Coturnix japonica: one gene and its partners. The protein of the gene in region 3 interacts with the protein of the main gene of each other region in a biochemical or structural test. Links are inferred from orthologs where the notes say so. Each region holds a gene or a part of one and is shown on either strand. Other genes may lie near its edges.

Region 1 (4,054 bases), on a different chromosome or scaffold from region 3:
GTCTGTTCCAGAGCAGCCCACGCCAGCCGAGCTGCCTTACAGAGGAGCCTGGGATGTGCTGGTGCTGTGGGAGCGCCCGGCTGGCAGCGAGCAGCCCCGACATCCAGCACATCCGGAGCGTTTCGGAGCGTCTCCTTCCTCCAGGGGTCCTGGCGCGGCTCCGGCTCGTGCCCACGTCCTGCACTTCCCCCCCCCCATTCTCCCCATTTCCCCTCTCGGTGCCTTCGCTCTGTTGCTGTAGTTTCACACGCGGCACCGCCCGGCTCAGCCCGCACCGCTCTCACACGCAGCCGCCGCCGGCAGCGGGGCAGGAGCGGGCAGGAGGCTGCGGCCCCACGGCTGCACGTGCGGGATGTGGGTGCGCGGGGCCGGTGGGATGTTCCCGTCCCGTCCGCCCGGCGCTGCCCCACGTGCCGTTTCCTTCTGGCCCCGCTCCGCCCCGCGCAGCCGTGTCCGCTGCCGCCGTACCCACGTATATAAACTCGCTTTTCCTCTCTGACCGTTCTCCCTCTCGTTGTCTGACGCCCCGCGGCGCTGCCCTGTGCCCGTGGCTGCGTGTCCCCGTTGGCGGCGCCGTGTCCCGCTCGGTGCGGCGGAGCTGCCGCCCGTCGGTCGCAGCGCGTTGGACAAAGCTCAGATTGTTTTGTATGACTGCATCCTGGTGAGCAGCACAACTAATAAAGGCTGTTTTGTAACGGAGCAGCATGGCGCCTGCTGAGCAACGGGACGGGGAAACGGCCTGAATCCAGCACGGGGTGGGCTGGGGTCGGACAGTCCGTACCGGGGGGTGGCCGTGCCCGGCCCGGAGCTGCGGGATCCCATTGCTGGGAGGGGGGGGGGTGTCCCCGCAGCGCGGACCGGGCGGTGCCGGGCGCTGACCCGCATCGCTCCGCGCGGGGCCGCTGCTGCGCTCCGGGAACATCGGGGGGTGCGGCCCCTTTAAGAGGCGGCGGCGGTGGCGGGTCGCGCGGTGACGTCACGGCGCTGCCCGGAACTCAGCGGGTTTCCCGCACGGCTGTTCCCGGCAGTTGCCACCTCCCCCCGCGCCGCCCCCTGCCCAGCACCGCCCCGCGGCGGGAGGCGGCGCCATCCGGGAACAGCCGGCGCGGGGCAGCGCCCCCAAGCGGCGCCGTCGCGATCCGTGACGTCACCTCGGGACGGCCGCGCTGATTGGCTGTCGCGGCCCGTCCCTCCCGAGGCGGACGGAACGCCGCGCCGCCATTGGCTGCGCCCCGCGTGACGTGAAGGGGGGCGGGGCCGGGGCTGCGGGAGCCGCAGTCGGGAACCGGGAACCGACCGGAGCGCGACCGTCAGCGGCACCGGGAACCGCCGGCACGGCCGGAACCGACGGTGAGAGTGAGATGAGTTATGGGAAACCGGGGAACGGAGCGAGAGGGAACGGGACGGGACTGGGAGGGAGCGGGGGGAGCGGGGCCGGGCCTCGGGTGCGACGGGCCTCAGCACGGGACGATCGTGGAGGCCCCGAAGCTGCTGCACCGACAGAGCCCGGCACTGAGCCCCGAGCGCGGGGAGCTGAGAGCGGCGGGACCGACATGGCGGACACTGCGCCGGGTGCACGGTACAACGCCTGGGCTGGGAACATGGAGCTGAGCCCTGCGGTCCGGTGTGTGGCAGCGCCGCGCTGTGCCGGGCCGTGCTGTGCCGTGCTGTGCCGTGCTGTGCTGTGCCGTGCTGTGCCGTGCCGTGCTGTGCCGTGCTGTGCCGTGCTGTGCCGTGCTGTGCCGGGCTGTGCTGTGCCGTGCTGTGCACTTTGAGAGCCAGAGCACAGCGGGGCAGGTCGCTGCCGGGGCTGGGCTGTGCTGTGGGGGTGGCTGTTATCGCAGCGGAGCTGCACCGTGGGCACTGAGCCCCGTCCAGGTGGCTGCAGCGCTCTCAGGGTGTCTCAATGTTCTCCCTCTGCTCCCTCTTCCTGTTGGTGAAGCCCCTGTAAGTTGTGTCACAGGGGGATGCTCTCAGGTACATCCAGGCACACAGAGCCCATCGTGGGGCTGTTTCCCTCAATGGCAGCACTGCTCGATTGTGGCTGTTGGGGTACGTGGAGCTGTGGTGCCACTGCTGAGCTCAGGCTGTCGTGCTCTGCCCTTGCAGGGAAGCTAAAGAAAGATGAACTTTAACTCTGGGGCTACTTTTAGCCGCTCTGCTCTGAGCTCTGCACAGCTTGTTTACCTCAGCGCTTGCGTCATGCTGTGCTCAGCCCCGCTCACATCAGTTGCTCTTTGGCTCTTCTCCAGCAGTGAGAGATGAACCACGGAGGCAGCAAACCCATCAGCATTGTTAGGGCTCAGCCCTCAGGCTTTTAAACCTGCCCCGGGAGCTTCCCCACAGCAGGATGGGCTGCAGAGGGATCTGTGTTGGGTTTTGGGCTGGCGCTGTGGAAGGTTTCATAGAGCAGGTGGTCAGGGGGTCACAGAGCATTGGGCACCACTGGGAGGGGTGAGCTGCAGTGAAGGAGGAGAATCCTCTTCCTGTCTCCTTGCTGCTCCCAGACGTTCCCTCCCTTTCCTCATCCTCCTGTGACTGATGGGTTGGCAGCCGCCATCAGCCGCTGCAGCAGAGCTGTCCCACTTGGCGAGAGCCCATAGCGCAGCACATTGTGTGGATGCTGTTCACAGCCCTTTTCCTGTGGTGGCGTGGGGGGAGTTTGTAGGTCAGGAGCCCATTAAGCTGAGGGGCGTAAAAACTCAATGTGGTGTTTGTGTCTGTGCTGATATCCCTGGAGAAAAGGGCTGAAAGGACCCATGGACCAGCAAGCAGTGAGCGCAGCTCAAGGCAGCAACCATCCCCACGGGCTGCTTCGCTCCCACAGCACTGAGTCCTTTGTGGTGCCTCTTATTGTACTGTGCGTATGTTCTGCAGCCACTTCCTTCATCACTTTGTGTGCCTGCGCTGGGAGGAGATGCCTGCAGTGGGATGAGGCTGAGCAGGTTGTTTTGCTTTGTGCAAGTTCTGTTTTTCAGGGATGAACGTGGCTGAGCACTTTGCAGGGCAGCTGCTGCTCCCTGGGCTGCACACAGGGTGGTGTGCAGGGACTTCTCCTTCAGTGCTGTACGGGTTTGGGTTCAAACACGGCCCAGTGAGACCCAGAGCAGAGCTTTGCTTATGGGAGACCTGCTTGGATCAGGGCAGTGCAGGGCGGGAGCTGCGGATGTCGGTGGTTTGTGGATTCTCAGCTCTTGGCTGTGTGTTTCTTGCTTCATTTCCCCCCCATCATGTTTCACACTGTGCTGGCAGCCTCTATAGCACTCAGCTAAAAGCAGTGTGAGCACCTGGGAGCGCTCCCTGTGCTGTGCCTGGTGAGCAGCCATGGGGTACAGCAAAGGGCCCGGCCTGTCGTGGTGTGAAAAGAGAAGTCCTGGGGTCACACACGTGTCAAACAGAGCCGAGTCTTCCCTCCAGTCTGACAGAATGTCTGTCTCCTTACAGGCTCCTGTTTCTCCTCCTCCCTTTCACCTATTGCTCTGTTAAATCCAGGCTTTGCTCACATGATCTTCTCTAGAGATTGCACCAGGCTGTGGTTCAAGGTTAATGTCCTCTGGATGCTGCTGTCAGCTGGGCTGCGCAATGCCACAAAGCTCTAAAAAGCAGCTTAACTCCTTGTCGGGTGCCAATCAATGTGTGTCATCTCCCCACGTCTCATGGTGGGGCTGATTCCCCTTTTTCTCCTCTAAGAACTATCCACAGAAATAGAGGAGGGGTCGCATACAACAAACACCAGCTGCTCTGGGGGGGACCCGGGGCACAGAGCTGTGGCCCCCACATCTCCCCCCCAGTCAGTGCCCATCTCCAGTGCCTCTGGGACAGCTCTGGTGTCAGCCATGTGCCAGCCCTGTGCCTCCTGCTGACGTGTCACTTGCTGGGGTTGCCTGCAAAAATCAAACCACTTTCTGGGGGAAGTGAGCCCGTGGTGAGGCTCAGTGGTGCTGCTGTGTCTGTGCTTCCTGCACAGCTTGCTGTCGCTCCTTCGGCTGACTCTGACTCCTATTGATGTGCGAGCCGCTCACTTGAAAATTGCTCCTTCCTCGTTTCTGTTGCT
Region 2 (4,311 bases), on a different chromosome or scaffold from region 3:
GGATGAACAGCACATTCCTAGAAAAGGAACTGGTGCTGGAAAAGACTCAAAAGCACACACATAGAAAATGGATTCCTCCAAACAGACCACAGCCCTCATCCAAGAATTCCTGACAAACATCCTTTTTATTCCCCTAGAAGGAATGCTGCAAACCGCCTTGTTGGATTGCTGCTCTGCTTCCCTCCCAGCACAAGGGAAAAGCAACTGGTTGGAGCTAAAGCTTTTCAGGCAGTGCTCAAATATAGCAAAACAAACTCCAATAACATCTGCCCAGCAACATCAAACTCACTCTGTTTTGAAGCACTGTTAAATAAACCCCAAACAACAGTATTTTACATTTTCAAGGACATCCTGCTAATGAGTTCCCAAAACAATGGAAAGCACTTTCCAATAAGATACTTTGAGTTGTTCTGCTTGATCAAGGAGGGGAACTAATCCAATTCAGTACTATAGCACGGCAGCTGGCCTGGATTCGATAAGGACAACTGTTAGCCTGAGCACTAAGTGTTAAATTACAGGGAGGTTGCGAGAGCAAGGACAGCAGTTCCTAGAACTGCAGCTCGTGTACCAAGTATCAGGAGCACAGTCCATAACGGGCAGGCACAGCTCTGCCTCCCATGCATTCATCTGCTGTTTCACGTGCCCAGTGCAAGCGAAAGCTGACACCCACAGCAGCACAAGCAGACGGGCAGCAGCGGGTGTCAGAGGGGTGCAGGTTTCCAAATGAGGCTTGGAGCAAACAGAGCAGTTCTGCTGCAGCTTGCATGTTGTTCAGGCACACGTGGGCTTGGGGAAAGACAATGTGTGCCCTCAGCAAAGGGCGTGGTGCCAAGGCAAGCATGAAGGGAATACCAAAGAACAGGCTATGCTGAAAGGTCACGTTACCTCTTACACGCTCCTCGTTCCCTTACACTGTGTTTTTTTAAACCCCTGCTGCCCACAGACAGGAAAATCAGCTTTTTCCTGTGCTCTCAGGGACTCTCCTCACCCAACCATCCCTTTGCTGAGCCTGCAGATCACCAGAGTGCAGGCACTGAGCTCTGCTTCCACCCCTCAGCCAAGCCCTGCCTGCAGGCAAAGGGGGTTACAGAGATGCCAGTGCTCAGTTATTCTCTTATTTGCTACAGCAAACGATCTGCTCCTTCCTCCTGACTTCAGCAACAGCTTTGCAGGAAGTCTCATGCTTCCCTCAGCAGACATTTGCTGGTACTCTCCAGGCTTGAGCTGGCTCACATCCAGCACCTTCAGTGCTTCAACACAGGCAGTTTGCTGTGAAAGGGGCTGAAAACCATTCTCTCCTTTGGGATCCAGGCAAGGAAGCACTGTGCTGTCACAGGAGAACCCAGGGCTTTGCCAACCTTGCACACCCTCACAGCAAACAGCTCCGTGCTTTCCTTCCACACTCTGGACATTCATTAACTCCGCAGCACAAACAAGCAATAACCCTTGAGGGCTCGTCGTGCTGCACTGCAGCCTTATTATCCATCTCCATTCAGCTACAGGCTGAGAAGCATTCTGTATCTCCTCTCTTCCATGACATAATGACTGTGAGCGCTATATAAGTGCTTTCAGCTATTTGCTGCCTGCATGGCAAGGAAGACGTGGCAGAAATAATACCAACCCAAAACACACTGCCTGCATCAGCAGCGCCGACTTCCCCTTTTCTCTCTGTATTTTAACCCAAGCAACATCTCAATGCTGTAAAGAGAACCGATGCCTGGAGGGCTCATAGAACACAATGCTGCCTTCGTTAGGTTTGCACTCTTAGAACAGCTTCAAGAACGGTCCCAATCGAGATGAACACCACCCTGTGACCTGAGAACGGGAGGGTCGCCCCAACAACCCAACACGGCCCTATTTAGGCCACGAAGACCACCATAAAGGTGGAACCCCTCCTCAAAGACCCTCATAAAGGAGGAACCGCCCCCCAAAGACCCCAACCCACGTCAGCCCCCTCAGCTTGAACCCATAAAGGTGGAACCCCCCCCAAAGACCCCCACAAAGGTGGAACCCCCCCATAAAGGTGAACCACCCCCTCAAAGACCCCCATAAAGGTGGAACCACCCCTCAAAGACCCCCATAAAGGTGGACCCCCCCCTCAAAGACCCCCATAAAGGTGGAACCCCCCCCTCAAAGACCCCATAAAGGTGGAACCCCCCCTCAAAGACCCCATAAAGGTGAACCCCCCCCCTCAAAGACCCCCATAAGGGTGGAATCCCCCCCCTCAAAGACACCCACAAAGGTGGAGCCCCCCCCTCAAAGACCCCCATAAAGGAGGTATCCCCCCCCAAAGACCCCATAAAGGTGGAACTCCCCCTCAATGACCCCCATAAAGGTGGACCCCCCCCTACAAAAGACCCCCATAAAGGTGGAAACCCCCCCTCAAAGGTGGAACCCCACCTCAAAAACCCCCATAAAGATGGAACCCACCTCAAAAACCCCCATAAGGGTGGAAACCCCCCCCAAAGACCCCCATAAAGGAGGTACCCCCCCCAAAGGTGGAACCACCCCCTCAAAGACCCCATAAATGTAGAACCCCCCCCCCAAAGACCCCAACCCACACCGGCCCCCTCAGCTGGACCCCAGCCCCACAGGCCCCAGTCTCTCACCGCCCGGCGTGGTCCCGAACACGGTTCCCCCCGGCGTGGTGCTGTAGTCCCCGGGTGGTAGCGGTGCTCCGTCGGGCAGGGCCAGGCGCTTGCCGGGACCCGGGATATCGCGGCTCGGCGTCTGTCCCTGGCAGCAGCGGCCCGACATGGCGCCCGGTCACGGGCTGCTGCTGCTACTGCGGCCTACCCGCCGCCAGCCCGTCGCTTCCGGTGTAAACCACGCCCCCTTCCGGAAAACGAAGGGGCGGGGCTTAGTTAGTGGGCGGGGCTTATGTGAATACGGGCGTGGCCTAATGGGGGCGGGGCTTAGATGGTGGGCGGGGCTTAGGCCATTGGGGGCGGGGCTTATAGAGAGGTGCCGTGATTGCGGTGCCCCTTATCGGTACCGTATGGTGCTGCAGGATGAGAAAGTAATGGGGTGTTATAAGGGTACTGTGCTGCCAGTGCTTCCAGTGACCCCCCCAGTGCTTCCAGTGACCCCCCCAGTTCTTCCAGTAACCCCCCAATGTGCTCAAGAACCCCCCAGTCCTCCCAGTTCTCCCATTGTCCCTGCATGTGCTGGTGCCCAGTTGCTCTCCCTGCTGTCTGCTGCATCAATTACTGTGTTCTGGATAGGAAAACACCATGTCCATCCTTGCTGGCTGACATCAGCCTTGACCCCCGACTCAATGAGGTTTAATGAAGCCTTGAGGCCATTTCCTTCTGTTCATAGATAATTATGGGGTCAAGGAGCTGTGGGGGAAGGTCAGCTGTTGGGGCACATCCTGATTGGGGCCACAGTCCTTGTGTTGTCTGGCTATCATCCCCTGGTGCCTTGTATCCTATGGGGTATCAAGTCATAGGGAGCCCCCAGCCCCAGCAGAGGGACAGGGCACAGCTCTGGGCTGGCAGCAATGTCCGTCCTGTGTGTGCTGATAATATCTCTGCAGGGTTGGAGCTGGCACTGAGCAGCCTCAGGAATGCACAGTCCTAACAATGGTCCTTCCTCATCCCTCCCTGCCATTCATTTCCCACTTGGACTCAAGATAAAAAGGCAGAGAGAGAAGGGGGAAAAGGTACCTGGACCAGGGCAGGGAGCAATACATCAATACATCAATACATCAATACATCAATACATTAATACAGTACAGCAATACATCAGCAGTAGTTCCACTGGAAACATGGTATGTACTTTAGGAGCATCGGCTCGTGTTGGCAGTATCCATTGGTGACAATGTGCTCATCTCTGGGGGCATTTTATCTCTTCAAAAGAGCTGGAAAGCCTTTATCATCCTCATATGATAGAAGGTTGTCACCTTATTGCCTTCCTAACTGGGAACAGAACTGCATTTGTAGGTCCCTTCTGCACGCTCCCCAGCAACTGCTGTTTTGGCCACTGGTGGGAATCGTTGCCTTTGGAACAGGAATGGGGTGTTGTGAAAATCTTTCTCCTCTGGCACTCTCCCATTTGAGGCAGCTCCCTGCTATGGTGTGTGGAAAACACACCCCCGTGGGTCATGAAATCTTGGGTATTTCTTCACGGGTGCCCCATGACACCCACCCATCACCAAGGGGAAGGCAGCTGGGGGGGGGTGTTCTGTGCTGCTGACATTTCCACCCCATCCGTGTTTACATTCCTTTCTGATCACCAGTGCAGATAACGCCAAACCCACATCCACTTTGCCCGCCCAAGGGCTGTTTGTGCAGATCAAAGTTGCCCCTG
Region 3 (3,560 bases):
TAGGAGAAAAAGCAGATTGACAGGTCATTAAGAAAAAATAAAGTAAATCACAGCTCTAGTCTGAAATGATATTTATCTTCATGAATGAGAACAGCCAGTGACAGCTTGCTTGTCTGCGGTCTTCAATCTCGGGAAGAACAGAACAGCTTCCTTGACAGTGCATCTATCACATTACTTTTGTAATTACTTCTCAGGAATTAGATGTTATCTCATCATGGAAGACAAACAACCTATTGGATCACTGCCATCAGTACAGTTCTTGGATATGAACATCTATTTTCCAGTTAGGATAAGTTCTTAGGTTTGTATAATCTTTTTTCATTATTTTTTTTTCAGCATATAAATACAATGAATTATGCAAGTGAAGTAACGCAAATTGGATTACTACCAGAAGAGAAGAGAATCAGAGCTGACTAACAGAAACCAAGATGCTGTTATTCGTGCTGACTTGTTCCAATTTTGCTTTAATCCAATTTTCAAAGGTTTTAAATTTCATTATAAAAGCCTTTAAGCTCAAGAATAGAACAGAAGAAACTCTTATTTGTACTCAAGATGCACAAACTCTTGTCATATGTTGCAGTGTTGAAAATAACAGCAGCGCAATGAAATCCATAAAGATGGTATCATCATAGCTCAGCCATATCCATACCGAAAGATGTTATTGTAACAACAGATTCAATGGACAGACTAAGAGGTCTCTGCAGTCTGCTTTCATCTAAAAAAACAAACGAAAACCTTTGCAATATTACTTACCTGTCCCCAAGACCCAAAATGTACCCAACCATTGACATCACAGCTAGTGAACGAGTATAGTTTGTTCTTCTGTCAAACCACACCTACAAGCAGAGGCAGAATAGAAGAAGTCAGACAGACATATTGCATGTTTCAGCTTACGTTTTAATTTATACAATAACTGCTGTATTTTGGAATGTGAAAAACACTCAAAATCATTAATTTCCAAGCAGGGAAAGGTCTCACAAAGCAGCAAATTTTATTAGTTTGTGTTAAAAACACCTTCTGTAGGAATTCATTTGAAGTTTGTGATGTGCAGGTACACCCATTTCTCCCACATTCTGCAGAGAAAACAGTACATGTGCTGAACTAACCTCTGAGCTCGGACTTTTCAACCACAGCAGTTTGGCAAGGTCATCGCCAGCTGTGTTATTGACAGCGTGTTCAAACACTTCTACCTTCTGCATTAAAGTCAGGTGGTCATAATCTGGAGCCATCTATAATTGAGAAGCAACATTAAGCAATTAAGAACAGACATTCAGTAGCCCCTCCCTGTACTATGAGAAACACAGTAATCACAAATAATTGCAAGATAAACGTGATATAGTATTATTTGCAGACTGACCAGTATGTTCCCAAACATAGTATGAGAACTACAGTGAAGAACTTGGGTGAAATAGGATAGGAAACGACTTCACATCCAAAAAATAGCCCATAGCCATATTTAATTAAAATACTGCTGAGGTAAATAGGTTCTGAAAAGCGCTTCCTGGGCTGGCACACAAGTTCCTTTCTGGCAGATAATTCCACCTTCTCTAGTAACATTCTGTTTCTCCATTCTGTCTAACTTTGGCCACGTTCCCTAGTCACAATGTTTGTAAATGCCAGCAGCATGACACCTTCTGTAAGACACATCATATTCATGCAAAACACATTTTAGTCTCCAGATGGTGACAACTTATGGTCACTGCTAAAACAGGAAAGGAGAAACAAATAAATTTATGGCCAATTTTGCCTTTTAGTAGCATTTTAGAACACTTAACTGATATTCTTGCACTTACTGTTGATAACAGCAATCAGAAAACAGGTAAAGTAGGAAGAGTGTGTGCACCATTGTTCTTCACTACGACACTGGAGTCCTAAAAGAATGTACCAAAAAATTTGCTACTTTTGCCCATTACCCTCAGCATGATGCGATGTTCAATGTTAAGCAGGATCTTTTTCTTCTCTCTGTAGTCTCGGATGAGGGCGTGCAGTGTGTCACAGTGGGGGACCCAACCTATCAAGCCTGAATTTGTGGACAGTGGAATAACAGCATATCTCTGGATGCTACAGGAAAAAAAAAATGGAAATTCAGAGCTCAAATCATTTTATGTTATAACTCAGTACACTTTAACCTTCCCCCCCAACCCAGACAGACCCGGAACATCCATTTGGATGGCTGATGTGGTTTAAGCAGGAATACGGCTTCTAGAAGGCTCAGATTATGTGACCCATGAATGTCTATAATTCACACACAACATTTGGTATGTTGATGTTTGAACAATAATGTACAGAACTGCAGTCAGTGACCATTGATCAAGCTGTTTATTGACTATAATTTAAAAAAATCCTTGATAAAAAGCCTGCTCTCAGCTTGAGTGCTGCCTTAGGAGTCCATGTTGAAATAGTGTTTATCTCAAATACTATTAACAATTCACAAGAAAGAACTTGTACACTGAGGAAGTTTTTGTTTTATGTAAAACATTTCCTCCAAGTTTCAGTCTATGAATGGATGTTCTCTCACATACTCAAATCAGCTTAGTTCCAATACTCATCACTTCCTTACAAACCAACTGGATATGCCAGGGTTTCCTGTACATTTGTTGGATGTCACTCATGCATAAGCACACTCAGTAACCATCCCCAACACATACCTGAGGTTTTTACGAAGAGAAGTTGGGTCGTTTGCTAGCAGAGTGTTGACCAACCCAAAAAGCTGCATCACTCTTTCATCTTGACGAAGGTCTTCGTGACCTTTCAGAAGGAACACAAACTCATGTCCGTTGCTTCCTGGAAAAGGATCAATAGGGAAAAGTTTACTCTAGCTGAGAAAACACTAAAGAGTAAACACAAGGACACAGAAGAACTGAGAAGTTTGGCAGATGTAGAAGTTTTACGTGACATACTAAAACCAACTGTTTAAATGCTAGAATAGCAAAGTACAAACTGCTTCCTATTACCCATTAATGTTAGTTTCCTGGGCCGCTGCTTGGAGGTGATGACCTGAAGTGAGGGTGCAATGGACTGAATGCGGATGATGGGCTGGTTGGGATCATACGTTCCTGGCACTGCCAATTCCAGGTCCCGGCACATTAAGAGTTTTGGTGACACGTACTGTAGTTCCAAAGAAGTGAGCTACAGAAGACAGAGGAAACACAACTCTTCAAGCATTTCAGTTAAATCTCACTTAAACATCTGAAGAGTTCATGCTGGCAAGGAGCCTAGAACAGTTCACAGTCAGCTGTCAATACTTCAGTACTTGCCAAAAGGGCTGCATAAGTAGAAAACTTGAAGCCTAGGAAGCTTGTGAGCAAATTAAAAGCAGTTAATTCTAGAATACTGAATTTGAACGTTTTGAATAACCAAAAAACATTAAACAGAGATTAGTACTGACAACACGCACTGTAAGCCCCACAACAGAACTGCACCTCTCCTCCTACCTGAGGCAGCTGCTTTGAGATACGCCTGAAAACGTGGTAATAGAGATCCCAAGCCTGGGTTAGGTCCTTGACATTTCCTGATTTCATATACTTCCTGCACCACTCTTGAGCTTCCATTAGATCTCT

The links. The genes of interacting proteins can lie anywhere in the genome.
Region 1: the proteins of MTOR (region 3) and STAT3 form a complex in vitro, tested with the Homo sapiens proteins (2 studies listed by BioGRID, with this or other methods). The link is inferred for Coturnix japonica from reciprocal best matches to the Homo sapiens genes MTOR and STAT3.
Region 2: of the proteins of MTOR (region 3) and EIF4EBP1, one has a biochemical effect on the other in vitro, tested with the Homo sapiens proteins (29 studies listed by BioGRID and IntAct, with this or other methods). The link is inferred for Coturnix japonica from reciprocal best matches to the Homo sapiens genes MTOR and EIF4EBP1.

What each region holds. Positions count from the first base shown.
Region 1 is NC_029542.1:4,519,730-4,523,783, reverse strand, and holds the start of STAT3 (signal transducer and activator of transcription 3), read left to right. Parts: upstream 1-1,222; 5' UTR 1,223-1,350; intron 1,351-4,054. UniProt on the Homo sapiens protein: Signal transducer and transcription activator that mediates cellular responses to interleukins, KITLG/SCF, LEP and other growth factors. Once activated, recruits coactivators, such as NCOA1 or MED1, to the promoter region of the target gene.
Region 2 is NC_029537.1:3,620,574-3,624,884, reverse strand, and holds the start of EIF4EBP1 (eukaryotic translation initiation factor 4E-binding protein 1), read right to left. Parts: upstream 2,833-4,311; 5' UTR 2,758-2,832; coding exon 2,610-2,757; intron 1-2,609. UniProt on the Homo sapiens protein: Repressor of translation initiation that regulates EIF4E activity by preventing its assembly into the eIF4F complex: hypophosphorylated form competes with EIF4G1/EIF4G3 and strongly binds to EIF4E, leading to repress translation.
Region 3 is NC_029536.1:3,567,286-3,570,845, forward strand, and holds part of MTOR (serine/threonine-protein kinase mTOR), read right to left. Parts: coding exon 3,435-3,560; intron 3,130-3,434; coding exon 2,955-3,129; intron 2,785-2,954; coding exon 2,649-2,784; intron 2,062-2,648; coding exon 1,914-2,061; intron 1,230-1,913; coding exon 1,107-1,229; intron 837-1,106; coding exon 754-836; intron 1-753. UniProt on the Homo sapiens protein: Serine/threonine protein kinase which is a central regulator of cellular metabolism, growth and survival in response to hormones, growth factors, nutrients, energy and stress signals.